Rattus norvegicus: one gene and its partners. The protein of the gene in region 3 interacts with the protein of the main gene of each other region in a pairwise test. Links are inferred from orthologs where the notes say so. Each region holds a gene or a part of one and is shown on either strand. Other genes may lie near its edges.

Region 1 (3,500 bases), on a different chromosome or scaffold from region 3:
AGGTGCTGCATAGATGTGCAGACCACTTTCACGGGTCAGAGCGGGGAGTTTTGAACCCAAACCCTACCCTGCCAGAAAGGCCCCAGCTGGGGCATTTCTCCTACCTGTGACTGCACATTGGCTCCGACTTGGGACCCTTGGTAAGAATCCCCATTCAGACTCTGCATGTTCATGAACATGTCCCCAGAATTTGGGAGGTTAAAAGAACCAGAAGAACCTGGAAAGGAAAGAGTTAAGTAGCTGAATAACAGAGAGCTACATACACAATCCCCAAAGACCTCGAGGTAGGGAAAGGAAAAGAGGCAGAAGGGAGAGGCATTTCCAGCTTTAGAAGGACAGAACGTTAACTCAGCTCTAGAAGGTCCTGCTACTCACACTATACACAGGAAGAACATTATAGAGGGTGAACCCAAGTGAAAAACCAGAAACGAATCAAAATAGGCAGAAAGCACCCAGGAGCTGGCCCCAGCCTTCTCCTTGTTTCCATTTCTCTCCAGACTTAATCAAACAAGCTCTTCAATGTTCAGTGTCATGGTGGAGAACTACCTGGAGAAGACACTTTCCTGACACTTTCTCCTAGATATAACTCTATGTTTCCACTCACCAGTGTCTGTGGCCCAGTAGAAATGATGGGGGTATAATAAAACAGACAACCTTCCCTGGACCTTTAAATGTATATTTTAAAATCTCCCTAGAAAGCATCCGAGGCCCTCCAACTCTTCTACTAGGGTTAGCTGCACCTTCCGCTGCCAGCCAAGTTCCCTGTAATTTAAAGACATTCTTCAAACTCCATGAATGCCACATAAAATTTAAATGGAATGTTCTGTGTAAGGAGTCAAAAATAGTGCATTTATAGCCAGCTGTGGTGGCACACACATGCAATCCCACCTAGTCAGCTGAGGCAGAGGAATCACAAGTTTGAGGGCAGACAGCTACAAAGTGAGTTCAAGGCTTTTTTGGACAACTTAGTAAGACTATCTTTAAAAAATAATGGCTAGTCATAAACTTTGCATATGCAAAGCCCCGGGTTTAAGCCCCACTACCACAAAAAACAAAAACAAAACAAAAAAATCATTCCTTTATATGCAAGTTCAGCAAGTCACCTGGCACAGACAGGCTGCGACCTAGAGCCTGAAGCCAAGAGCACAGGAAGCACAGCAACGTCCCAACCCAGCATTCAGCTTCCCTACCAACCAGTACATACCTGCTGCTTCAGTCTGACAGACCACCAATGACCCTAAGGTGATAGGCGGAACATTATATGATAGAACTTTGCGTATCTGCTGAATTAAAGGCCATGGCTGAGTATAAAGGTTCTAGCATCTACAGGAGCGAGTGGCATTCGCTGTGAACAGTGGGTTTCCCAGCACAGGCTGGCCCCTTATCTACCCATCTCCAGAACAAGCCTATAAGCGAATACAAATCTCTCCTGAAAGGCCCACTGTGCACCCAGTGAGGCTGAAGCTTCAGAGCCTGTGGCAGATGCCTGTCTGGCTGCGTAGGGAGTGCGCATGCCATACTCACCAGAGTTTGGCGTGGTGGGTGAGTTGGTCTGGTTGTTCTGCACGGCTGCGGCCACTGCGTGTGCGGCTGTCACGGCTGTTTTTGCAGCATAGAGATTGGCCTCCTCTTGAAATTTGCCGATGTTCTTCTTGTACCTGATTCGTTTGTTGCCAAACCAGTTGGATACCTATCAAGGACAGGACATGAAATAGGAAGGGTAGAGAAGTCACAAAGAAAAAGCCAAACTTCCTGTCCTTGCTATGGGATAACGAGAAGCTCTGGGTAACACAGTGCCCTGTCTGCCACTTTGCACCACATAAGTAGTGCATAATGATTTTAGGGGTTCACTTTCCACTTTGGCATAGTCTTTTGAACAATGCTTCTTGGAGTTGGCCATGGGAACACTAAAATGGCTGGGAGTACTGCTCATCAAAACACCCAATTGTTATGTGCGCATCAAGCATAGCAATCAGACTACTAAAAAAGCTGAAAAGCTACAGGAGGCATTTGTTAAATTGGGTATTAAGAAGCACACTTGAAAAGAATGACTCATTGTTCTTTTGTGGGCCTGAAACAATCCTGGCACCTATATAGTAGTATCATGTTTGGTCTGCTGAAGAGGGACATCAATTAATAATGGATGAACAATCCCTTTGTCTCCTGCCTTGGAAGACACTGCACGTCTGCCAAGATGGCTGCTCAGGCTCTGCCAGTGACTGTGGGAAGCCTCAACCTGAAAACTCAAGCCAGCTCAGTAAGGTCAAAAGCAAATGCAGAGGAATGGCTGATTCCATAAGGTAGAATAGAGGTTTGGGTTTTTTCCTTTTTTCTTTTTTTCTAAACTGCTTGTGATGTCAGCCAGTACAAATGTGAAAGAAGATGTTGGCAGAAGGCTGATTTCATTGCAACTCATAGACAGCAAAGGGAGAGCCCAACACTTAGTGCTCAGGTTCGCACTACTCACACGTCCCCAGTTACCTGTAGTTGAGCTGTGTAAAGAAGCTAAAAGTTGTAGAGCGGTGTGTCAGAAGGTATGCCCGATGCAGTATCCTGAGAGCTTGCCCCTCTTTTGTTAAAGTAACAATTTAAAAACATTCCCAGGAACTGCCTACCAGTCTAGCAGAGGAACCACTGGTGTGGTTTCAGAGTGACTGTTCTACCCTAGGTATTATCTGTAAAGGCTCCTCGGGGGCCCTGAGCAGAGAAAAGGAATGGGATGCAGTTCAGAGCCCTCCAACCCAATTTTCTACAGTGGGCAGCCCCGCTGGCCACCTCTGCCAAGTCTTTAATTGCTTTGGAAATGGTGCTCTCATTCTTCAACTGATGGCACTCACCCTCCTGGAGAAGGCTAGAAAGCTCTGGCAGGGGATCCCTGAGAGAAAAACAGCACTGGCCTTACTGTTGCCCATATGCTGCCATCAGAGCACTGAGTACACACACGTGCACATAAATACACATGAGCACACTTGAGAGGACCCGTGCTGCAGCACAGGTTCCTTGGAAAGATGGAAAAACCCACCCAAAACCAAGGTGGTTGCCCAGGCCACTCAGCTATCCTCAGGCAAGGCTTAGCCTCTCAGCAATGCCAGCAGCCATCCTTCCCAGAGCTCATTCTTCCCGTGGACCCTCCGCATTTTATTCCAACACCTCACCTCACCTCCCTTCTCCTCTCCTCTCCTCTCCCTCCCCCACCCACGTGTGTGTGTGTGTGTGTGTGTGTGTGTGTGTGTGTGTGTGTGTGTTTGCATGTCCTCCAAGGCTCACTTCTTGGTCCTTTTCTCTTTCTCCCTATCACACCTTCAGTGATTCTATGTGGGTGTCTCTGAGGTTTCTCTTTCTATCCCTAGCTTTATAAAGAATGTTAGATCCCAATGTTTAGATTCCCATAGGACTTGCCATAACCTCCAGCATATTTGGGTTAAGTGGAAGGGCAGGTGCTTCTCCTCTCTCTCTGTGCTTCTACAATCCACACCTCCAGAGCTATGGTGTTCACAGCA
Region 2 (3,500 bases), about 85 Mb from region 3:
AAGTTTTGTTAACTTTGAATTCGTAGCTATTCTCTGATAAACTCACAATAAATATTAAGAGTTCCTTCCTTCTAAAGTCGCCTGCCTTGCCGTCATGTCTTCAGTAAGCAAGTGATAGCTGTTTTATTGAGAAACTCATGACAGAGATTTTCAGAATTAAACATATATTTACAGAAAATTGAATAGTAAGCCATGATTATTAGTTCAAGTTATAGTTACAACCTATTGACAAGGCCATTACATTTAAACAGGTGCTATTTAAGTTTGTCTTGTTCTGGGAACTATACTCTGTCCCAATGACAGTCTTTGTGTTAATTATTTGTAAACTCAGGCATAACATTTTCTTTGAGCCTATCATTCTTTGTTTAACATATGAAGAATTTCCTAAAGAAACTATCACTTTGTGAGTAGTATTATGGATTATAGTAGAAGTTGGATTGCTTGATACCATTAGCATGAATGACTGTTGCTTAATAGCCAGAGAAAGTTGAAAAAGGGAATTCCATAGGAAAGATAGCATTCCACGCGAAGAGTTTTAACACAAGACATGGAAAATGTACGTTAGTTTACCAGACACTGAGTAGAGCCAAGGGTGTTCTCTAAGAATGTCAGCGTTGCATACGAGCTTCTCACACTTCATAGTGTCAGCGGGAATTCCTGGGTTTTGTCTTTTTAAATTAGAGAAACAAATTACAAGCCGATAGGGGTAGAATTTTTACCCCTTCCTCTCATGTTTTATATTTTAACCTTATTAAATTTTATAGTAGATATCCAATTTATGACCTGCCCTTTGGCCGTGTGCCAGCAGGGTAGCTATGAATGTGGCCTGACATGTTGAAGTGACCGAAGTTTGGAAAGCCCTGTTCAAAGCATTTAAAATCAACTTCTATTTTTTATTTTTGTTGAGTTTATTCTCCTATCAGTATATTAATTGTATAATGATGGTGACAATTGTGATCAGACTAGCTTACGATAAAAGACAACTGACCATTGATAAACCCACAGTTGGAAGAGTATTTAAGGGTACTTAAGGGTTCCAGACCTTTTGGTTTTATTAAGGGAATTTACAAGGGAAGGGGAGTGTAGCTAAGCTATTGTCTCTATTTTATGGAGGGCAAAATGCCTTAAGATCAAATCATTAGAATACATTCGTGTGTGTGTGTGTGTGTGTGTGTGTGTGTGTGTGTTAATGTTAATGGCTTAGGGAAAATTCCATGTCTTTAGTTAAATTGCCCTCACATTACTCCACTTTAGTCTTTGTCTAATGCTACTTTCTGTTTTTTTCTCCATCCTTTGTTATCTTACATATTTCTTCCTCTTTCCCACTTGGTCATCTGCCTAGGTTGTTATCGTCAGGAGATGTGCAAACTGATGTGTGAGCGGCTAAGACTCAGCACATGGAAAGTGCAACTAGGTGTCCTCCAGTCAATGAACGCCTTTTTTCAGGGGTAATGTGCTTCATGATTCAGGTTTTTATTTTATCTCCCTATTGAATGGATTCCTTAACCTTTACACATTCTTCTTTCAAAACAGAAAAGATTCTTTTCTCATACAGTATATCCTAATTATAGTTTATTCTCCTTCTACTCCTCCCCGTTTCTCCCCACTTTCCCTCTCCTCTTATCCACTCCGTTTATGTCTCCCATAAAGCTCTCTTTAGGCTTCTAAGAGATAACAACCAAACATGACAAAATAAAATACAATAAGATGAAACAAAAACCATCACAGCAACCCAGTGGGAAGAAAAGAGTCCCAGGAGCCATCACAAGAGTCAGAGAGCCACTCGCTCTCCTAGTCAGGAACCCCATAGAATTTTAAGCTAGTAACTGTAAACTATACGCAGTGGACAAGCTGTAGAGCCATAAAGCCCTGTGCTTAGTGTTCCAGTCTCCGTGAGCTCATATGGCTCTTACTTGAAGTTGGTGTCCTCCTCCCTTCTTGCTCTTAACAGTTTTTCTACCTCTGCTTCCTAGGAATTTCCTGAGCTCTAAGGGGAGGGATTTGATGGAGACCTCCCATTTAGACTCTTTCCCCACATTGTCTGGCTGTGGGTCTCTGCATCTGTTCCCATCTGCTTCTGGTGGAAGCCTCTCTGTTGATGACTAGATAAGGCACTGATCCATGAGTATAACAAAATATCACTAGGAGTCATACTATTGATACTTTGATACTTTTTATTTTCTTCTTAGACCAGTAGTGTTTGGTTTTATGCTAGGTCTCTGGGCTATCTAGTCTCTTTGTTCTTGGTTACCCAAGCAGTGTTGGATATGGGTTCCTTCTTATGGAGTGATACATAAGTCAAATCAGACATTGGATGGATTCTCCCACAAGTTCTGTGCCACCATTGCCCTAACATATTTTGCAGGGAGGACAGATTTTAGATCAAACGTTTTATGGCTAGGTTGTTGACATTTCTATTTTGGTAGATTGCTGTGTACCTTCCCACACCAAAGAGACAAGAACGTAAGGGTGAAGGCTTCATGTAGGCACCAGCTCATCTTCACCATGTTAATGAGTTGTGTGGATGTTGTCCTCTGCATTGGGGCCCTGATTTTAGTTTGCAGAGAGCCACCCTTTGTCTTAACAGCAACTTGGGTAGTTTGGGGATTTCCATGGGATCCCCTTGACCAACAGCTCAATTGAATACAACCCAGTCCTGCTACTGGGATCCTTGCCTGGCAACAAGAGATGACCAGCTGAGACTCTATCCCATTACTAGGAGTCCTCATTACGATCACCTCCATAAATTCCAGGTTTCCACTGCACTAGGTTTTTACATCACCGTATGAATGCCTACCGGTTTCAGCCATTTCTCCCCATATTTTCCTCTATCTCCCCCACACCTTGCCTTTCCCTGCCTGCTCCCATCCTTATTCTCTCCCAATCTGCCTGTAAATCCAATTTTCCCCTCCCAGGGAGATCCATGCATCTCCTCAGACTTCTCTTTACCTAACCTCTCTGAGTCTATGGATTGTAGCTTGGTTATCATTTACTTAATGGTTAATATCCACTTATAAATGAGTATATATAAAATTTATCTTTTTGGATATAGGCTACCTTATTCAGAATGATTTCCTAATTTCATCCATTTGCCTTCAAACTTCATGATGTCATTTTTTTTAAACAGCTGAGTAAGACTCCAATGTGTAAATATACACATTCTTATGATCAGTTTAGCTATTACAAGTGTCTCAGATAACATGGTAAGATGTCATGTACAGATAGAAGTTATGTTAGGCAGGATTTAAATGGTTAAGAGTCGCATTATACATCACTTTCACACTTACAGGTTAATGCTTCTGGAAGAAGAGCATGCAGATCCTGAAGCTCTGGCTGAGATTCTTCTTGAAACTTGTCAGTCAATTACGTATTCTTTAGGTGAGCAAGTAACAAGAACTTGAGTGATTTGTTGTTGTTGTGGCTGTTGTTTATTTTGTTCTTGGTGTTTATGATCAGGCACAGTCCCTCATGCGGCCACTCTACCACTGAGCTGCACCCTC
Region 3 (3,500 bases):
CTCCCAAGTGCTGGCATTAACCACCCACCAGGCACGTTTTTAATATTCTGGGTTTGTTTTTACATTTATCTGTTTGTGGTGTGTTTGTATGTGTGTGTAAAACCTCAAACCATGACAAAGAGTGTGGAGGTCAGAGGATAACTTTCGCAAGTCGGTTCCAAGGACCAAACACACATCGTGACGCTCAGTAGAAGACTCCTTTACCTGCGGCTGAGCCTCTAAGCCTCTGAGTCTCTGGGCCCCAGCTCTTGTTTACACTGTGCTGCACTCAGCCTAAACAAATCACAGCTACCGCTCCTCACTCTGCTCACACTGGGCTCAGTGTGGATGCCAACCAGGTCTGGGTTAGGTGCTGATTGCATGGGATTGTGTTTGACGCAGCAGATGGACGCAGTGACCCCACCAATGATGCTGTCACTCAGCCTCCCGGCCTGTCTCGTGTGCAGAGAGTGCTTTCAGGACTCTCACCTCAGCCTGCGGCTCCCCATAAGTCTTCAAGTATCTGTCCCCAGACGTCTGCCGGTGAGTAAGAGTGGGAGCGCTGGCACCTCAGGAGGCAGTCGACTGTGGTCAGAACGCAGAGGCTAGAGGAAGCCACCCATGCCCTGCCTCATGGTTCAGGATCAGAGGCAGTGAAATTAGTCACTTAGAATCAGAGGATAGATGTCTGTCTACATGCCACACCGACCAGCACTTCCTCTGCCACCCCATTTGGCTGATATAATGGGTGGCTGAAACTATGTTCCACCTGCAACTGAGTCTAGGGCGAAGTCACACCCAGACGGCAGGGTGGGTCCCAGCTCGGAGCACAAACATGGCTGGAACCTAGTGCAGGCCCAGAGGCCCTGCATTTTAATGTCAGGGCTCCTCTGCAGACAGACCTACTGCATCTGGGCCTGGGGTTCTCAGGCACTGTCATGAGGCACTGAGAGGCACAGGGACTTGGCTCCTGTGCAGAACAGGCTGAGCAGGACCACAAGCTCACAGAGCTTCCAGAAGGGCTGGGTCACCTTGGGGTAGCCTGAGAGGCAGTGATCATTGGCCCATAAGGCCTGGATGGCCCTGAACACTCTGCACAGCTCGGCGGTTGTGTGTTATAGTGATGGGGAGGAGGGGAAGAAACCAACCACAGTTCTAGCCCAGGGGTTAACAGGTGTCTTGAATGGAGGGGCAGCATGGAGAATTAGGACTGGGCTCTTCTCAGCTGGGACCTCCGAGGGCACATGACTCAGGCCACCTCTGTGGCAGGGAATGGAGGATACCCCATTGTAGGTCCAGTAAAGAAGGTGACAAGCATCCTGCTGGGCCCCAGGACGGCCAGGGACAGCTTCAGTACCCCCGGGGGGCAGCTTGGCCCTTGTTCTCCAGGCTTGCAAGGGGGTCTGCAGGTGAGTCTGACGAGTCAATTGTCTGGTAGGCACTATGTTCCTGAGAAGGTCCGAAGAAATCTAGAGGACAGGGAACAAGTGGATAGAGAAAATGAGACCATGGGGCCTTCTGCTAAGCACAGACAGATCCACCATCTGCCATGGCTAGTGTTTGGCATCATGATACCAAGGACAATGGGCAGTGGCAGAAGCCCAGACACCAGGCCTTTACCAAGCAGCGTCCACTCAAGCCTAGCATCGGTATGGGTGGCTCTGCAGATGAGAGAAATGCGAGGGTCAGAGAGACCGGCTGATTTAAGACCCTGTGGCATGAAGCAGATGACACTGGGGTCCAACCTAAACAGCAGCTCCTGTGGTCAATGGCTACTGTGTCACATCTGCCCCGGAAGCACACGCTCAGGTACCTGAGGAGGGGGTCAGTCCTGAGCCCACAGACTTTCTTCCTGCTGTCTGCCAGGCGCTAGGACCCATATAAATCACCATTTCTAGAAGCCACAGGGCCTGACACAGTTGCTGTACCCAGAAGGCTGGGGCTGAGAGTACAGAGCAGGACAGAAGGCACCTGTGTCTCTCACATTTCTCCCTCTGTATATTTGCCCTGAGACCATGGACAAGTCCCAGGAGCAGTGGACCTTCCTTCTCCTGTCTGATCCCTTCACACCCGGGCAGGTCTAGGTGAGCACAGAGATAAACCAGAATGGGCAGCCGTAGGCCACTCTGGCACTGGCTCAGCACTCTCTCATGGGATCCTCAGGTCACCTGGAGACCACACCCAGCTCCCACAGGAGAGCAGGGTCAGAGAGGGCAGGAAAATGGCTTGGCCCGCCACCAAAGAGGACAGCGTGGGCTGAGCCAGAGTCTAGAAGGCTGGTACACAGGGCTCCCTGGCCTGCCTGCTCAGAAAGGGTACGCCCCACATGGCAGGAGCGCACACCTCCAGAGGCAGGGCTGGGTGGAAACAGGAGGAAGGAGTTGTCCCCACAGCCATCTGCAGCCCCGCAGCAGAGGCTCCTTGCTGCCACAGCGAGCTGAGCAACTCCACGCCTCCACTTGTACTCTGGACTGAGGGAGGGCCACCAAGTCTGCCTGACAACAGGAAGAAGTCACACCAGACTGGTGGCTGGGCCGGGGGCAGGCGGGGTGGAGTGGGACTTACCCGAGCGGAGCGGGAGCTCACCCCCTCGCTCCCGGTGCATGTGGTAGACGAGGCAGCAGGAGAAGGGCTTCAGCAGCAAGCTGAAGATGGCCATGCCGGCACTGAAGCGGCCAGTGTCCCCAACGGCAACGCTTGAGTAGAAGATGCTAATGTAGATAATGTCCAGGAAGATGGTGGCAACCAAGCCACCAAGAAACTGCAAGGAACACCATCACAGGATCACGGACACTGACACCCAACCAGACCCCAAGTTTCCCTCACACACACCAGGCTGGTGACCGGCATCTTGTGACTGACACCTGCATGGTCTAGGAGCATGGACACAAGAGTCTGGCTCTAACCTGTTGCCCCATAATTCCCCACCCCCATCTCCTGCCATTGAGATCATGAGGGGCCTATCTCCAGAATTTCTGAGAGGGACACTTCCTTGGAGCCCATAACATCTGGTCTCGCTGCAAGAAAACAAGGGAAACAAACCCCTTTGTAATTCTCCTAAGGAGACACTGGGGTTCTGTGACCTCCCCCCATGTCTGTCTTGGGGGGACAACAGCAGAGGTGGGTCGCTGTGTAGCTGGCCTGGCTAGGCTTGCCGTGTGCAGGGCTTTAGAACAGAAAAAGATGGGGTGTGAGGAAGAGAGAAGACTGGGGCAGATGAGGGGCCCACGGATGGAGCCACCTCCCCACCGCCAACTCACCATGCCAATGGCATCAACAGAGTCCCGCTGGGCCACAGCCCACACACCCAGGGCCAGGATAGTGAAGTTGCCCCAAGCATAGGAGCCTGAGAACGCCAAGCAGCCCCTGCATAGAGAGACACTATCAGTCACCGCTTTGAGCTGCCCACCCCTCCCAGTTCCTTCCCCTGCTCCAGGGTCTTAGCCACAGGTCTTCTGTGTCACTCCTGCCCCCTGCAGGCAGTTCTTGAAATAGCAAGCAGTGTGTGAATCTGACCATGT
Region 4 (3,500 bases), on a different chromosome or scaffold from region 3:
CCCATTCAGAGCCTGCCCCACATGTGGCCCATACATATACAGCCATCCAATTAGACAAGATGGATGAAGCAGGGGCTGGGGATTTAGCTCAGTGGTAGAGCGCTTACCTAGGAAGCACAAGGCCCTGGGTTCGGTCCCCAGCTCCGAAAAAAAGAACCAAAAAAAAAAAAAAAAAAAAAAAAAAAAAAAAGATGGATGAAGCAAAGAAGGGCAGGCTGACAGGAACCAGATGTAGATTTCTCCTGAGAGACACAGCCAGAATACAGCAAATACAGAGGCGAATGCCAGCAGCAAACCACTGAACTGAGAATAGGACCCCCGTTGAAGGAATCAGAGAAAGAACTGGAAGAGCTCAAAGGGGCTCGAGACCCCATATGTACAACAATGCCAACCAACCAGAGCTTCCAGGGACTAAGCCACTACCTAAAGACTATACATGGACTGACCCTGTACTCTGACCTCATAGGTAGCAATGAATATCCTAGTAAGAGCACCAGTGGAGGGGGAAGCCCTGGGTCCTGCTAAGACTGAACCCCCAGTGAACTAGATTGTTGGGGGAAGGGCGGCAATGGGGGGAGGATGGGGAGGGGGAGGGATTAGGGGGATGTTTGCCCGGAAACCGGGAAAGGGAATAACACTCGAAATGTAAATAAGAAATACTCAAGTTAATAAAAAAAAAAAAAAAAAGAAAGAAAGAAAGAAAAAAAAAAAACACTCCATAGAGTACAGGAGGAAGATACATTTCCTAACTTTTCTAGAAGGTCTGAAGACAAACACTGGGAGCACGAAGGAACCCAAGGAAAGAACGGGGAAGGGCAGTATTTCTTACAGGATTACATGCAATTATACATAGTCCAGACCTGCCTGGGACACACCGTTCTGTCCCAGCCTCCTGAGACCACTAACTCAGCATATGTAAAGAATCTTAATGAAATGTTAATAAATTCAAGCAATACATGAAAAAGCTTTGTATGAGGAATATCAGGTTGATTCAACAACTGACATTCAGCCAATGTAATCTGTCATCTTAACCAAAAGAGAAAGAGTATCTCAAAAGATGAAAAAAAAAAAAACTTTTTGACAAAAATTCAGCATCTGTTCACACTTAAAATTCTCAAAATCAGAGAATGGGGATTTCCTCAACCTGAAAAATATCTATAGAAAACTTACAGACTGAATGCTTCTCCCCACTCAAAATCCAGAACACAGAAGGAGCACATATCTACACGTCTGGCATTGACAGTCAGTGCAAAGGCAAGAAAGGCAGAAGGATGGGTAAGGCTGAAACAAGATCTTCCTGCTTACAAAGCCACACCTCTCTGAAACTTTATTTTGAACTGTGTTTGGAGAGACAATTCCATTTAATAATCTGAAAATGTTTTGAATATATGATTAAGTGTGTAAAGAAGAGTGTTATTCAAGTGCTGTCTAGGACATACTTATGATCCATGCACTCTCTAATTAGTTAAGAGCGTTGTTAAGACCTTTGCTTGCCCAGCTATTGCTATCAAAAGGTATTCCAGATAATAAGCATTTAGCCTGAGCATTCATCTGTTCTTTTCAAAACCAACCAAACAACCAACCAACCAACCAACCAACCAACCAACCAACCAGCCAAACAAACAAAGAGAAAACCCAAGCCAAGGGAGAAAAAAATATAAAGCCTACTTTTACTTAGGAAAAAGCACGGGGCCCGTCTGTGACCCACGACTATTGGTAGGTTCTGTGTGTGCAGAGGGTAAATGAGTGTGAACTGAATGGCGGTAGGAACGACACAGAGAAGACACTGGAGTGAGAGGAAGCATGGAAGAACAAAATCCTTGTTGTATATAAAGTAGTGAACTGTGATTAACCCAAGGTTATGCACCCAGTCTATTTCATGTAGGGGAAAAACCATTCTCTCTCCTGTGCTAGAACGAGCCAGAGTAGAGCATAGTCAGGTTATAAAATGAGATTAAAGGCAACACAAGGTGCATTTGACAAAGACGTTCATAACCATCAGATTAGCATGCTTTCTGCAGTAAGTAAATTCAACTTTACTGACCTTTGACCAGATCTCGTCTAACCTTTAAAACTGCTCCAAGGTCACAGTTAGCAGTAGCATAGGCGTGAGGCACAGTACTTTTTGATTCAGTTAACCTCTTAGCAATAACTTTTCGAATATTGCTGGCAGGAATTTCAGTGAATGTACCCTGAAAAAAAAAAAAAGAGGCAATTTGTCTGTTAAAACATAAAGCATAAATGGAAAAACATATAAAACCACTACCTATCTGAAATCCAATCTATGAAACCTAGTAATTATATAAAAGATTAATTTGAGAAAAGCACTAATAAAATTCTTTATGCAAAGGGAGAATATAAGAAATCTGGTTTGAGTTTACACAACTATAGAAAAAATAGCAAAATTTAAATTTTGGCTCTGAATGAGACATTTCATATTAGCATGTTTAAGGTAACTAAAAGGAAACTAGCCTATCATCACTATATACATATATACTGTGTGTACCCAGCACATATACACAGGCATGTTGAGTATGGAAGAAACGTTTTACTATGTACATATGTAAAATGCACATATGATCATGTGCAGGTATGATGATGACGAAAGCACAGAAAGAAGTACCTAGCTCTCCATTCAGACAGCCTGCAAGCTATTTTTGCTGCAAATTCGGACTACAGGCAAGTCTTAGAAAGACTGCATAGTGTTCAAAAAGGCAACATACTACACAGGGATAATCAATGACTGTGCATTTCTGTGATTTAAAAAAAATCATGAATAGCTTATTTGCTAGGAATTCAAAGTTCAAACTATGAGATAAGAAAAATCTTCCTTTCATTTTAATATAAAATTTTTTGTAAAGGCATGGACATATAATTACACTTAATACTGTTCTCATATTTTATTCTATTCTTGGACGGAATCACATTCACCAAAGGATAATAAAAGAAAAAAAAACCCTATAATTTATTTTTCCTCTGACAAATGATATTTGAAGGACATTTCTGTTAGCAAAACGTTCTGATTGCATGGAACAGCTGCTCTCTATATGCTGGGAGCATTTGAAAGGTTTATCATCCTCCTACTTTGATTAATCCTCTACAGCCTACTTTAAGGAAGATTTGGCACACCAATTTTATGTAGACAGTATACTCTTAAATGGTCATAAGAAATGCTGCCTGGGAGACTCTTAGTTCCCAGTCCTTTGCAAGCATAATGAATAATCTTCTCTATTAATGGAAGCAGTGTACGTTTATTTCCCTTATTTTAACAACACACAGGGAAGAAAAGTGGGTTAAGCAGAAGAACAAAACAGCTGGAATACAGCCATCTCTGAGGAAGAAAGTGCACCACGTATGGTAAATTCTAAATAGCTCTTAATTCCTCTAACAACAAACAAATACACCCATAAAAAGGGGCTGTGGATTCTTCTTGCAGCCAAGGAAAAGTGCCATGATTACAGCACACGTACATGTGGTAAAATGAAGCCAAATCACCATCC
Region 5 (3,500 bases), on a different chromosome or scaffold from region 3:
GTTTCTGAATGTTTCTGTGAACCTACCCACTTCAGGCCCGAGTTTTGTCTCTGTTTTCTGCGCTCTTGATGAATAAGGCAATACAGAAGGTGTTTTGTCTCAAAGATAAAAGAAATGACCACCAGGCACTGGTCAGTACATAAAACACCTAGTGTCTGGTTCTGCTGCCTAAGAAGCATGGTTCACATAGGAAATTTGACCTCCTGTGGAAAAAAGATTATACAGGAAGTGAGCACTTCACTATTTGATAGTTGATAGAGGATCAGGTACAAAGATTGTGGATCTTGGTGACCCGGGAGGCAGCAGGTAAGCTGAGGAGAATGCCCAGACCTTTTCTCATGTTTATTCATGTACTCACTTCTGAGTGACACCGTTATGCTCCGGGCACATTCAGAAGAGGACAGAGGAGAGGAAGACACAGATTCTCATGGAGGATCCCGAGTGGGCATCGTCAGCTTGGCGGGAACATGCCAGCAGTCCCTCTAGCCCTCCCACACACTACTACTTCTAGTGGACACCAGCACATGGAATTTACCTTAAATCCTTCTTGACTGTATCTGAAATTATTTTCTGAAACTTTTGCCAACACCCCAATGAGCAAAAACAATAAAATGAATCAAATGCTGCTCATATACAAGGGAATGTATCCTTTTACCCAGCCCTCCCTCCCCCCAGCTTTCACGGATCCATGATTTGTAAGAAAAATAGCTAGTGGTCTCAACAGGGCCCTTAGAGGCTTTGATGCCCAGAAGTTAGAAACCCACCAATGAAAAATTTGCATCCTTGGGAGAAAGGCCACACATCCTTATATTTCTATAGAAACTTCTACTGAGGTCCCTCTCTAAGTACAGTTACCTCCCACTACCAAGTTCTTTATCTGTAGCCATCACTTAGTCCCTGTAACATAGATGTACATATGGTATACAATCATACTCAACAGTAGCTGATAACTGAGATATTTTCCTCCACTAACATTTTTTCAGGCTGGCTTTTTCTCCCCATTCGGCCTGTGCCCTCAGCACAGAGCCCAGGGCTGGCACTGACAAGAAAGGGTGTGGCCACATTCACTCTTATGCTTCACACCACAGGGTCTCTTTTTGACTCGTCTCTGAATTCTGTTCTTTATGATTTCATGATTTTATGAAAAGGAAGAATTTACGTAGATATGGGCTTGTGCCTTCTTGAGCTCATTCTAACCCTTGTGTCAGAAAACAGCAGAAGCTTAGAGGCCGCCAGCAGGGGACTATTCCACCAGCCCACCAGAGAGCCGTGTTTTGCTTCTATCTAAAGAGAATTCACAGCTTTCAGCTGGGAAAGCAAGGTCATGGGTGAGTTCTACAATTTTGGAGCTAGCGACCGGAAAGATGAGCTTGCCAGCAAGCAGGTCTGGGAAGACAGCGGGTGGCATCGATTCAGAGAGGCAAAAATCAGGATTTCCAGTGTGAAGATGTTCAGGCAGAATTGGAACTTCAGATGGATGGATCTTTTTGGAATATATCTTTGTTCTCCTCCATGGCTGTGTGTGCCCTCCCTTTGGCATGAATATCCGCCCACACATGTCCCCAGTCTAGTTCTCTCTATGGCTTGAGCTAGATGGGTTTTTTTTTCCTTCGTCATCTCAATAAACCTTCTCTTGGTCATTCTCAGTAATCTGCAGCCCCTGGAGCTTTACCAACAACAGTCCTCTCCACAAGTCTGTGGAATAATAGCTGTCTGCTTGCTTGGCCTCTACAGCCCATGACGGGCTACATCTCCAATGGATGGCCAATTGGTTGACTAACCCAGGAGCTGTCTGATCTTTTGATATATGTTCGTAAAAGGAGATCTTTGTCTAACGTGATAGATGATCTACAGCAGTGGTGAGGCTGGCCACCTCTTAGACCTCCAAGCTCTGCAAGTCCTGGGCCAGGAAGAGGAGTAAGATGCATAGTTTAAAAAAAAAAGGTAACCATAAAACTGGAAGGTCTCAGATGTGGCAGGCATTCAGGGTTGCTAATACAGGATGTTTCTGAACCCTCACTAAGTAAGAGACTTACCCTGAAAGTTCAGAAATACCCACCTGCAATTCCTGCCCTTGGGAAGCTGAGGCAAGGGGATCGTGTGTTGGAGGGCATCCTGGGTTACAGGATGAGCTTAAGCCAAACTGGGCTACGTAGTGAGATTCTTGTTTCAAGAAAACAACTGAAGTACCATGTCTAAGACTCATCATAATGCATACTGGGTGGGGACAGAAGGCCTTTGGATGCTTATCTACTAAGTCAAAAGCCCAGCCACCTCCCCAGGTCTTGCCATCCCCTCCCCCACACTGCCACTGTCATTTCCTAAAATGGGTGGAAGACGCATCCATCAACATATCAGGATGGCGGGCTTGAAAGACCCACTGCCCATGAGGTGCAAACCGTGGCTTATAAGGATGAGGAGAGCCAAATGGAAAATTGAATTAACGTCTATGGATTCACAAGCCGAATGTTGTAAATCAAGGGCTGACAATCCCAGGTCTTTGAACACACCGCATCATTAGCAGCACCGTTTAATCTACTCACGCTCAGATTACTTCTGGGCTCCAGAACTAGAGTCACTTTCATTTCCCCTTCTGGGTGCAAGTGGCTAAGACAGAACAGCTTCTCTCCCATCATTCTCTCTCGGGTCATCTTCCGGGCAGCATACAGGCGGAAGCGGACAGCACAGGCAGCCACATCTCTGGGCTCCAGCTTGGTGAAGGTGACCTTTTCCTTGAAGACAGGGTTGGGCCCTCTCTGTATATTCGTCTTACCCCTCTGTTTCTTACTGGGCAGTAGCACTATGTGAACTTGCCAGGAGTTGACACCACTTCGGTCCTTATCTGGGAGACCCTGTGCTCTCACAATGGTCACGGTAAGCTTCTGGGTTACAGCTCTATATTCAAAGATGACATCGAGGTCCCCACATTTTGAGATAGGCTCCGGAAGCCTTGGTGGTACCTGCAGACTGGTCCCATCCTGCTCCTGTTACAAGCAGAGGGGAAAGGTTAGAACTGGAAATGACAGTGACTTATTACACAGTGACAGGTTGCTGCCCCTTGGTGCTTTCTTGGCTCCCAAGCTTCCTGACTGACAACATATGACCTTCTTCGGTGTTAGGAAGGTCTGTTTAAAAGTTCTCTCCAACAGACTGAGTTCTTGGAGGGCACAGTGTCTGGTTCCGGGTAAGCTTTTGAGAATTTTTCTAAGTGAATAAATGAAGCACCTGCATCTTTGAAAATGCAGTAATATGTACTACCTCGTGCAAAGTACAATTGCCCACTATGATTGAAATCAACACGAAGTCCCTAATTAAGCCAACTATCAACTATGTAAATGCCAACGGGCAACTTTTGAGTCCCAAGGAGTAATTGCTGAGCCTGGACCTGTTGTCCACTAAATCAGAACTTTCCTACAGGCAAAAGTCCCAAATTTCCTGGGAGAAAAGACTAATGGCTGAGCTTCTCCATCCTAACAGCCACCTGAGTCACTCAAGGATTC
Region 6 (3,015 bases), on a different chromosome or scaffold from region 3:
GCCTGTGACAAAGGCTGGTGGTTAAGAGAGCTTGGGTGTGGTGCATATCAATGTCCCCAGAGTGGACCCACAGAGAAGGGTGGTCATTTGGGGAAGAAAAGAGAAAGATAGAAATCAGGAGAAAGAAAGACACTAAAGACAAGAGGGAGATTATGTCCACACAGGGCAAAAATAAGCTGCAGGTAGGTAGGTCTGCATGGTTCTAACCCTCCTTGAGAGCTCAGGCTCACGTATGGTTGACTTAGGTGCTGGGGATGCAACTTGGACTTCATTCATGCTCAGCAAATCTCTACAACTGAGCCATAACCCAAGCTCTCTTTTTAGTTTTGCACCTTGAGGCAGGGTCTCACTCTGGTGCCCTAGTGCCTTAGCCAGCCTCGAACTCACTATGTTGCCCAGGCAGTCTTTGAAGTTGTGATGCTCCTTTCTCCAGCCACCTGAGTAACTGGGGTGAGAAGCCTGGCTAGGTCTAGGTCTTGGCTAAACTGATCTTGGAACAATTAGATCTCGGCATGCTTTTATTGAGTGTGTGAAGAAAGCAATTGAGGGATAAGGCAAGGTGGGAGGGACAGAAACAGAATTCTGCCTTCCTTTTATAGCTTCTGAGAGGACAAGGCTCCAAACATCCTGCTGACCCTGATGTCCTTGGCTTCTGTTCACAAGGTTTCGTACTCAGTCCGACGGGTTCTACAGTGAGCACCCAGGCTCAGGCAGCCTGGTGTGGAGACAGAGGGGGGGATGGGAGGTTAAGTACTTGAGTGCCCTGCACTTCCCTGCCCCAGCCCTCATCATGGTCCTCCCCCAGGGAAGAGGCTAGAGTAGTCACCTGCACAGAGGAAAGGGATGGCGGAGCCCCAGCCTAGGTAGAAGGACCAGGAGAAGAATGTCTGGACCTGGGGAGATGGAGGCTGGCTCCATCTCTCGCTGGTGTACACTGCCATGGCCACTATGATGGAGAGAGCTGGGGACAAGAACAAGAGACAGCTGAGCTGGTTTGTATTCACCAGCCCAGGTGTCCCAGTGCAGCCCAGATCCTATTCATACCTGCAGCAAAAGACAAGACAGTTGAGACCATAGGGCCACGGCCAGGAGCAGACAGGGATGGGATACAAGACAGAACCAGGAAGCTCACGGATACCAGGCCCCACAGGGCAGCCAGGATACAGCAGACCTGTGTCACGTGGATATAACCTAATGCGAGACGATGATTCTGGGTGTCCATTCCCACTAGCCATACCCACCGCCAAAGAGCCCATCGCCCCTTTACCTGCTACTTGAGTCCCTGGGCTTGTTGGCCAGAGGCCAGAGTGGGCAGAGAAGTTGGGGCCGGTGGCCACTATCCAGAAGTCAGTGCTCAGAGCAATCAGTGAAAAAATCAGGCCCAGACAGCCAGCAAGCAGGGCCAGGGACCGGTAGGGCTCCATGGACACAGCTCTGGGTTTCCACTTCTTAGGGGACAAAGACACAGATGACCCAGAGTGTTGGCTCTTAGAAAAAGGAAAAGGCCATGCACCTGGACTTCTAGTCCACTGGGCCAGAGAAACAGCCAGCAAGCAGTGACTTTGTCAGAGAATCCTCTGTAGCCTTAGGCCTGGTGTCTGGTCAGATTCTTCTCACACTCCCTTCCTGAGTGGCTTCCCTTCCCCTCTCGGATTGGCTCCTCTCCTGTGTGGTGGGGGAGGGCCCTGCTGAAGTCTTTACTTGCTGGCTGCTCTGGGGGTGTCTACCCTCGTGGTCTAGGTAGTGGTTTAGACTATTGTCACAGGTTCTCCACAGTTGGAGACAACTGATTTCCTGGAAGCTCTTAGGGAGGGACTTGGAGGGGGTGGGCAGAGGTGGGAGGTGGGCTAATCATACTAGGGTATGAATTAACTGAAAGGAGAGATGTGGCTGAGGAGACGGTTGTGTCACACTTTCCTGTGGTTTTTGCACTCCTAGACTCTAGCATTAGAGTTTACAACAGTAAAGGGGCAGTGGGGTCAAAACACCAGCCCCATAGGAAGAAGGACTTGAGTAAGTGTGAGCAGAGACTCCACATTCCTAGTCAAAGCTTCTGTTCAGGACAGACAGGATTCCAAAAGGCTTGAGGAGGAAAAGACCTTCCTACATTCTCATCTAACAGATATAGTGAGAAGTCACACCACCTCGGTTGGACCCTCCAGCATAGGTGTCTTAGCACCAAGATGAGGGTGAGAAGTGGAAGACAAAGTGTCACTTGGGGGCCTCTGCGTCATGTCCTCCAGTAGTGGGAAACACCTCAACAGGCAAGTGCAAAATGTTTCCACCATCTCTTGATGTGACAGCATAGGTCTGCCTCCCCAACACTCAGGAGGTCTGAGGCTGGAGGATAATGAGTTTAAGGATAGCTTGGGCTACATGAGACCCTGACTTTCCAAAAAATAGGTAAAATAAAATAGAGAGGGGATAGAGCTGTGTGTTGTCTCTAGTGAGGGGGCCTATCCAGGGATCAGAGGAGAGATAAATTGCCTGGAGCATAGGTGGGTGAAGAGCAGGTAAGCTTTGTTCATCCTATAATCCCACACATCCTTTTCTAGACATTAAACCATGGCTATCTCCTAGGTAAGGACCCATTTATCTTGTTCCCACCCCTGTATAACGGAGGGATGAGGCTACCATATCAGAACACACTGTTCCCCACCCCAGCCTGCTTTTCTCTAAATCAACCCTTAACGACTCACACTTTGATAGTTTCACATCAGTTTTATTAGATTCCCAAATCACTCTCTAAAGGAGTTTCTGTTTTCTACCACCCCTCAGTGCAGGTGGAGGCTTATGTCTTCGTCTCAGTTCCCTCCCACTTGACCCTACTTTTCCTCCCCACACAGGACAGAGGGGTCAGGGGCTAGAATACAGGACTGAGCCCCCTCATTCCCTCAGGAACCAGGACTTCCGGCCTCTAGGTCCTCCCCTTCCTCTTCAATGTCCTCGTTGTAACTTCCGGCTGCAAGTTTCGCCCCAGGGCTCAGCGTGGGGTGGATAGGCGCCGGCACTCAT
Region 7 (3,492 bases), on a different chromosome or scaffold from region 3:
AGGACCCAGGGCTCCACTGGAAGGGCGGTCTCGGAGTAGGCTGTGGTAGTCCTGAGAGTGACAGTCTGGCCAAGGATCTTGTTTTCAGCCAAGTGGACTTTACTCTTGTCCCAGAACTAGGGTCTTCCAAATGCCTTCACAGCACCTGTTCCCTTCAGATACTCTCTTAGTGACATGGTAAGGGAGGGAACCTTGCAGGACAGTAACTGCAACTCTGCTATACACTCAAGTACACACACTTCCTGGGAAGCCCAAGTGTCTAGGACCCTACCCATTTAAGGCCTAGGTTTTCTGTCTCTCAAGTCCCCCCTCTGCTGTGCCACACCAGCCTATTATTGGGGAAGTGGAGGAGGAGAGTACACTCGGTAGAATCCTGGAGAGCCAGGGAAGTGGAGGTGTGTGTGTGTGTGTGTGTGTGTGTGTGTGTGTGTGTGTGTGTGTGTGTCCAAAATAAGGGAACGAGGAGACAGATACTACAGAGCCTGGGAAGAGACCCGGCATCCACCAAAACAAGTGATTTATTAGGACCGCCTGCCCTGGGAGCTGCTGAGCACCCCCTACTGTGGCCAAGGTCCTACAGAGAGTTCATCTCGCTGATGGGTGACAACTCTGGCCGGCCCAGCACTCACTGCTGGGTCTGGGTCCCTGAGCCCTCAGGTCTTGAGATGCAGTCTGAACAGATGGGAAAGGTCACTTGGCCAGCTCCTCAGCCACTGCTTTTCGCATCTTGTCCTTGAGGTAGGCGGTTTTCTGCCATTCAGACTTCAAATCCAGCCACTCATAATATGGGACCTGGAAGAAGGTAGTACAGACAGTCACATGGACTGTGGAATCCTTTCCCGCCTTTACATGTCCAGGGGCCCCTCCCACTCTGACAGAGCTGTTGACTGACAGCTTTAAACACCCAGGTCTTGGCCTCAAAGTCCTCAGGAAGAGTGCAGAGTGTAAGGCTATGCACATGGAAAGATGCTGGCTGGCAGGGCAAAGAGATTGCAAACCAGATAGGTCCCAGCAAGGCTACTGAAGAAAATGTGGCAAAGCTATGAAGTTTCTCTTTGCAGGAGACTCAACACGGCACATGTGATCTGAAGCCACACATAGCCACACAGCAGCACAGTTACAGGTCCAAGCCCTAGCTCTAATGGCAGAGCAAGGGATCCCGTGGCTGTACTGAACTTTCAGTGTGATGTGCTCACAGGAGGCAAGCTAAGCTTTTGTGTGCGTAGAGTGGGGTGGGGTAGGGGAGAGGTGCCTAGCTTAGGCCTGAGAGCTGAGTATCCACCCATATCCTTCTAGCTCTAGGGGCTTCTCCCTCTGCAGTGACCCTTGTTCTCCAGGTACTCACATCCACCACTAGGAAGCCTGCAGCCAGCACATGTCGACGGGCCAGGACAAAACGCCCCAACAAGTCCTTGCTTCTGCTGTTGAAGTTGGGGAACTCCCAGCGTAGGAAAGCGATTCTAGCAGGAGACAAGGGTACTTATAAAGCGCGTTCCCGGACTAAGGCCGAGGAGTTAAAAGGCATTTAAGAACAGCAGTGCTGCTGAATCCCTTCCGAGGGCATGACCAGGGATCTCTGGCCACATACCTTTTAGCTCCCGGGGGTAGTGGCTGGTTCCCAACTGGCTGGGCAAGGTGAGGAGCAACAAAATCTCTCAGGGGCAGGAAGTGGCCCTCAGCATCCAGCAGCACCTCTGCATCTGCAGGGGAACAGGATGAGCCTGGAGGTGAGGCCTCAGACACCCCACAGTGTACCCACAAGCAGGCATTAGAGGGAGGTACCCGCTGTTCTCTGTGCTGCTTCTTGCTATACCATGCAGGGTTACAAAGGGCCTGTTAGACTAGACCCTCTCCCAGCGGAAGGGAGCCCTTACCCAGCACCCAGCCATACTGTGTGGCCACCTCCAGGCTGCCTGTGTCATTGTTCCCCAGCAGTGCCTTCAGTGCGTCTTGCAGCTCCTTCTGTAGGGGTGTCATCTTCTTGTTGGAGGGTGAGGGACTGGGGGCTACAGCTGAGGCTGGCAGGAAAGGGCCTTTATATTCAGGGTACTCCAGCAGGGCAGTGCTGTTGATGTGGACCAATTTCTGGAAGGTACTCTGGTCCTTTGGAGACTTGCTCTCTGGGGGAGGAGAGAAGGTAGGCTGATGTACAGTACTGGGTACAGAAAGGGGGACCACAAGACATAGAGTAGCATTGGGAGCTCCCACCCCGTCTTAGGCTGGTGTCCCACAGTTAAGCTTGTAGGCCAACTGCAGGGAGTGGTCGGAAAAAAAAAAATCACAAATCACGAGGCTGTGCTTTGTGTGCTCTGCCCTCTGTCTCTGCTCTAGTGTCTTCCCTGGCTGGTAGAGCAGAAGGCCTCCATGTTCCATGGGAGTGCATGCCCATGCTGTGTGCAGGAGAGCAGTCTCACCTAGAAAGCGTGTGTGGAGCCCAGGATGGAGAACTGTTTGCAGCTCTGCTACCTGCACTTGCTGTAGCACACACAGGGCCCACACCAGGTCCACCTGCAGGGCTGGCTCCAGGCTCCCCAGCACGGAGTCCAGCTTCTCATGCACCTGAGCAAGGAGCACAGAGAAGAAAGCAGGGTCAGCCAGCGACCACAACACCCTAGGAAAGTCTGAAGCCAACCTGTGTTCTTGACCTGCCATACTGGAGCGAGGGACAGCTACTGGAAAGCAAGACCAAAGTCCTGACTTGGTAAAGCCCACACCAACCCAGGCTGAGGTATAGGAATCTTCCTCAAGCCCGGAGCTGTTTGTTTAGCTATTTCACTCACACCCTGCCCACGAGCAGGGACCCAAGGTCTCAAATCCCTCGTGATAGTCCCTAGTGGGCACTGTGATGAAGGAAGAATGTCTGGGCAGGTCACCTAGGTGTCCACATAGCTGCTGCCCCTGGCTGGCTGCCCTCAAAATCACCCCAGGCAATGTCCCAGTAGTTTGCATGTTCTCCAGTGGTCTCTGGGATGCTGCCTATTTCTCCAAGTCAAATGTTGTGCCCACTCCCAACCCCCACTCTAGGCAGTAGCCCGAGCCCTAAGTCAGTGTGTCAGAAGCAGTGTTTGGTGCTCGTACCAAGTTGAAAAACTGATCCTCTTGTTCAGGATGAAAGTTCAGCCGGGCAAAGGCAAGAAGAACGCTGCACAGATGGGACAGGGAGACATCCTGAGCGCTGTTCAGGAGGTGCTAAGACATTAGAGGGACAAAGTAAGGGCCCAGCAGCCATTTTCTCCCTGTCTAGAGCTCAAAACTGTTCACCCAGTAGCAGCTTCAGAGTTCAACTCCCTGACAGTGGCTTTAGAAATTGTCTGCTGGCCACAGGACATGCGCACACAGGCATCATGTACTCATACAATTCTACTCAGAGTGGTCAGTAGTCGGAAATACAGGGGTGTCTCCCCACTTGCTATGGCTGCTCCTTGGGAGGTCCAGAACTGACCAAGGCAGATGTGGATGCTCAGAGCCAACCATCAGACTGAGCTCAGGGAT

What was found.
Region 1: the proteins of Agtrap (region 3) and Pbx3 interact in a two-hybrid assay, tested with the Homo sapiens proteins (4 studies listed by BioGRID). The two-hybrid records come from large-scale screens. The link is inferred for Rattus norvegicus from reciprocal best matches to the Homo sapiens genes AGTRAP and PBX3.
Region 2: the proteins of Agtrap (region 3) and Ecpas interact in binary tests that used the Homo sapiens proteins (3 or more experiments, as listed by UniProt). The two-hybrid records come from large-scale screens. The link is inferred for Rattus norvegicus from reciprocal best matches to the Homo sapiens genes AGTRAP and ECPAS.
Region 4: the proteins of Agtrap (region 3) and Pdhx interact in binary tests that used the Homo sapiens proteins (3 or more experiments, as listed by UniProt). The two-hybrid records come from large-scale screens. The link is inferred for Rattus norvegicus from reciprocal best matches to the Homo sapiens genes AGTRAP and PDHX.
Region 5: the proteins of Agtrap (region 3) and Syt16 interact in binary tests that used the Homo sapiens proteins (3 or more experiments, as listed by UniProt). The link is inferred for Rattus norvegicus from reciprocal best matches to the Homo sapiens genes AGTRAP and SYT16.
Region 6: the proteins of Agtrap (region 3) and Nkg7 interact in binary tests that used the Homo sapiens proteins (3 or more experiments, as listed by UniProt). The two-hybrid records come from large-scale screens. The link is inferred for Rattus norvegicus from reciprocal best matches to the Homo sapiens genes AGTRAP and NKG7.
Region 7: the proteins of Agtrap (region 3) and Tbrg4 interact in binary tests that used the Homo sapiens proteins (3 or more experiments, as listed by UniProt). The two-hybrid records come from large-scale screens. The link is inferred for Rattus norvegicus from reciprocal best matches to the Homo sapiens genes AGTRAP and TBRG4.

Annotation. Positions count from the first base shown.
Region 1 is NC_086021.1:37,891,396-37,894,895, forward strand, and holds part of Pbx3 (pre-B-cell leukemia transcription factor 3), read right to left. Parts: intron 1,691-3,500; coding exon 1,525-1,690; intron 218-1,524; coding exon 105-217; intron 1-104. UniProt on the Homo sapiens protein: Transcriptional activator that binds the sequence 5'-ATCAATCAA-3'.
Region 2 is NC_086023.1:78,403,876-78,407,375, reverse strand, and holds part of Ecpas (proteasome adapter and scaffold protein ECM29), read left to right. Parts: intron 1-1,342; coding exon 1,343-1,448; intron 1,449-3,289; coding exon 3,290-3,378; intron 3,379-3,500. UniProt on the Homo sapiens protein: Adapter/scaffolding protein that binds to the 26S proteasome, motor proteins and other compartment specific proteins. May couple the proteasome to different compartments including endosome, endoplasmic reticulum and centrosome.
Region 3 is NC_086023.1:163,792,175-163,795,674, forward strand, and holds part of Agtrap (type-1 angiotensin II receptor-associated protein), read right to left. Parts: intron 3,346-3,500; coding exon 3,240-3,345; intron 2,741-3,239; coding exon 2,545-2,740; intron 1,449-2,544; coding exon 1,330-1,448; 3' UTR 1-1,329. UniProt on the Homo sapiens protein: Appears to be a negative regulator of type-1 angiotensin II receptor-mediated signaling by regulating receptor internalization as well as mechanism of receptor desensitization such as phosphorylation.
Region 4 is NC_086021.1:109,838,235-109,841,734, forward strand, and holds part of Pdhx (pyruvate dehydrogenase protein X component, mitochondrial), read right to left. Parts: intron 2,193-3,500; coding exon 2,045-2,192; intron 1-2,044.
Region 5 is NC_086024.1:98,687,667-98,691,166, reverse strand, and holds part of Syt16 (synaptotagmin-16), read right to left. Parts: intron 2,985-3,500; coding exon 2,544-2,984; intron 1-2,543. UniProt on the Homo sapiens protein: May be involved in the trafficking and exocytosis of secretory vesicles in non-neuronal tissues. Is Ca(2+)-independent.
Region 6 is NC_086019.1:102,980,050-102,983,064, reverse strand, and holds Nkg7 (protein NKG7), read right to left. Parts: upstream 1,569-3,015; 5' UTR 1,425-1,568; coding exon 1,268-1,424; intron 1,192-1,267; coding exon 1,045-1,191; intron 962-1,044; coding exon 827-961; intron 716-826; coding exon 657-715; 3' UTR 501-656; downstream 1-500. Other genes in the region: Lim2 (lens fiber membrane intrinsic protein), read right to left, coding at 2,984-3,015.
Region 7 is NC_086032.1:85,696,238-85,699,729, forward strand, and holds the end of Tbrg4 (FAST kinase domain-containing protein 4), read right to left. Parts: intron 3,190-3,492; coding exon 3,079-3,189; intron 2,560-3,078; coding exon 2,415-2,559; intron 2,121-2,414; coding exon 1,875-2,120; intron 1,701-1,874; coding exon 1,589-1,700; intron 1,461-1,588; coding exon 1,346-1,460; intron 793-1,345; coding exon 691-792; 3' UTR 501-690; downstream 1-500. UniProt on the Homo sapiens protein: Plays a role in processing of mitochondrial RNA precursors and in stabilization of a subset of mature mitochondrial RNA species, such as MT-CO1, MT-CO2, MT-CYB, MT-CO3, MT-ND3, MT-ND5 and MT-ATP8/6. May play a role in cell cycle progression.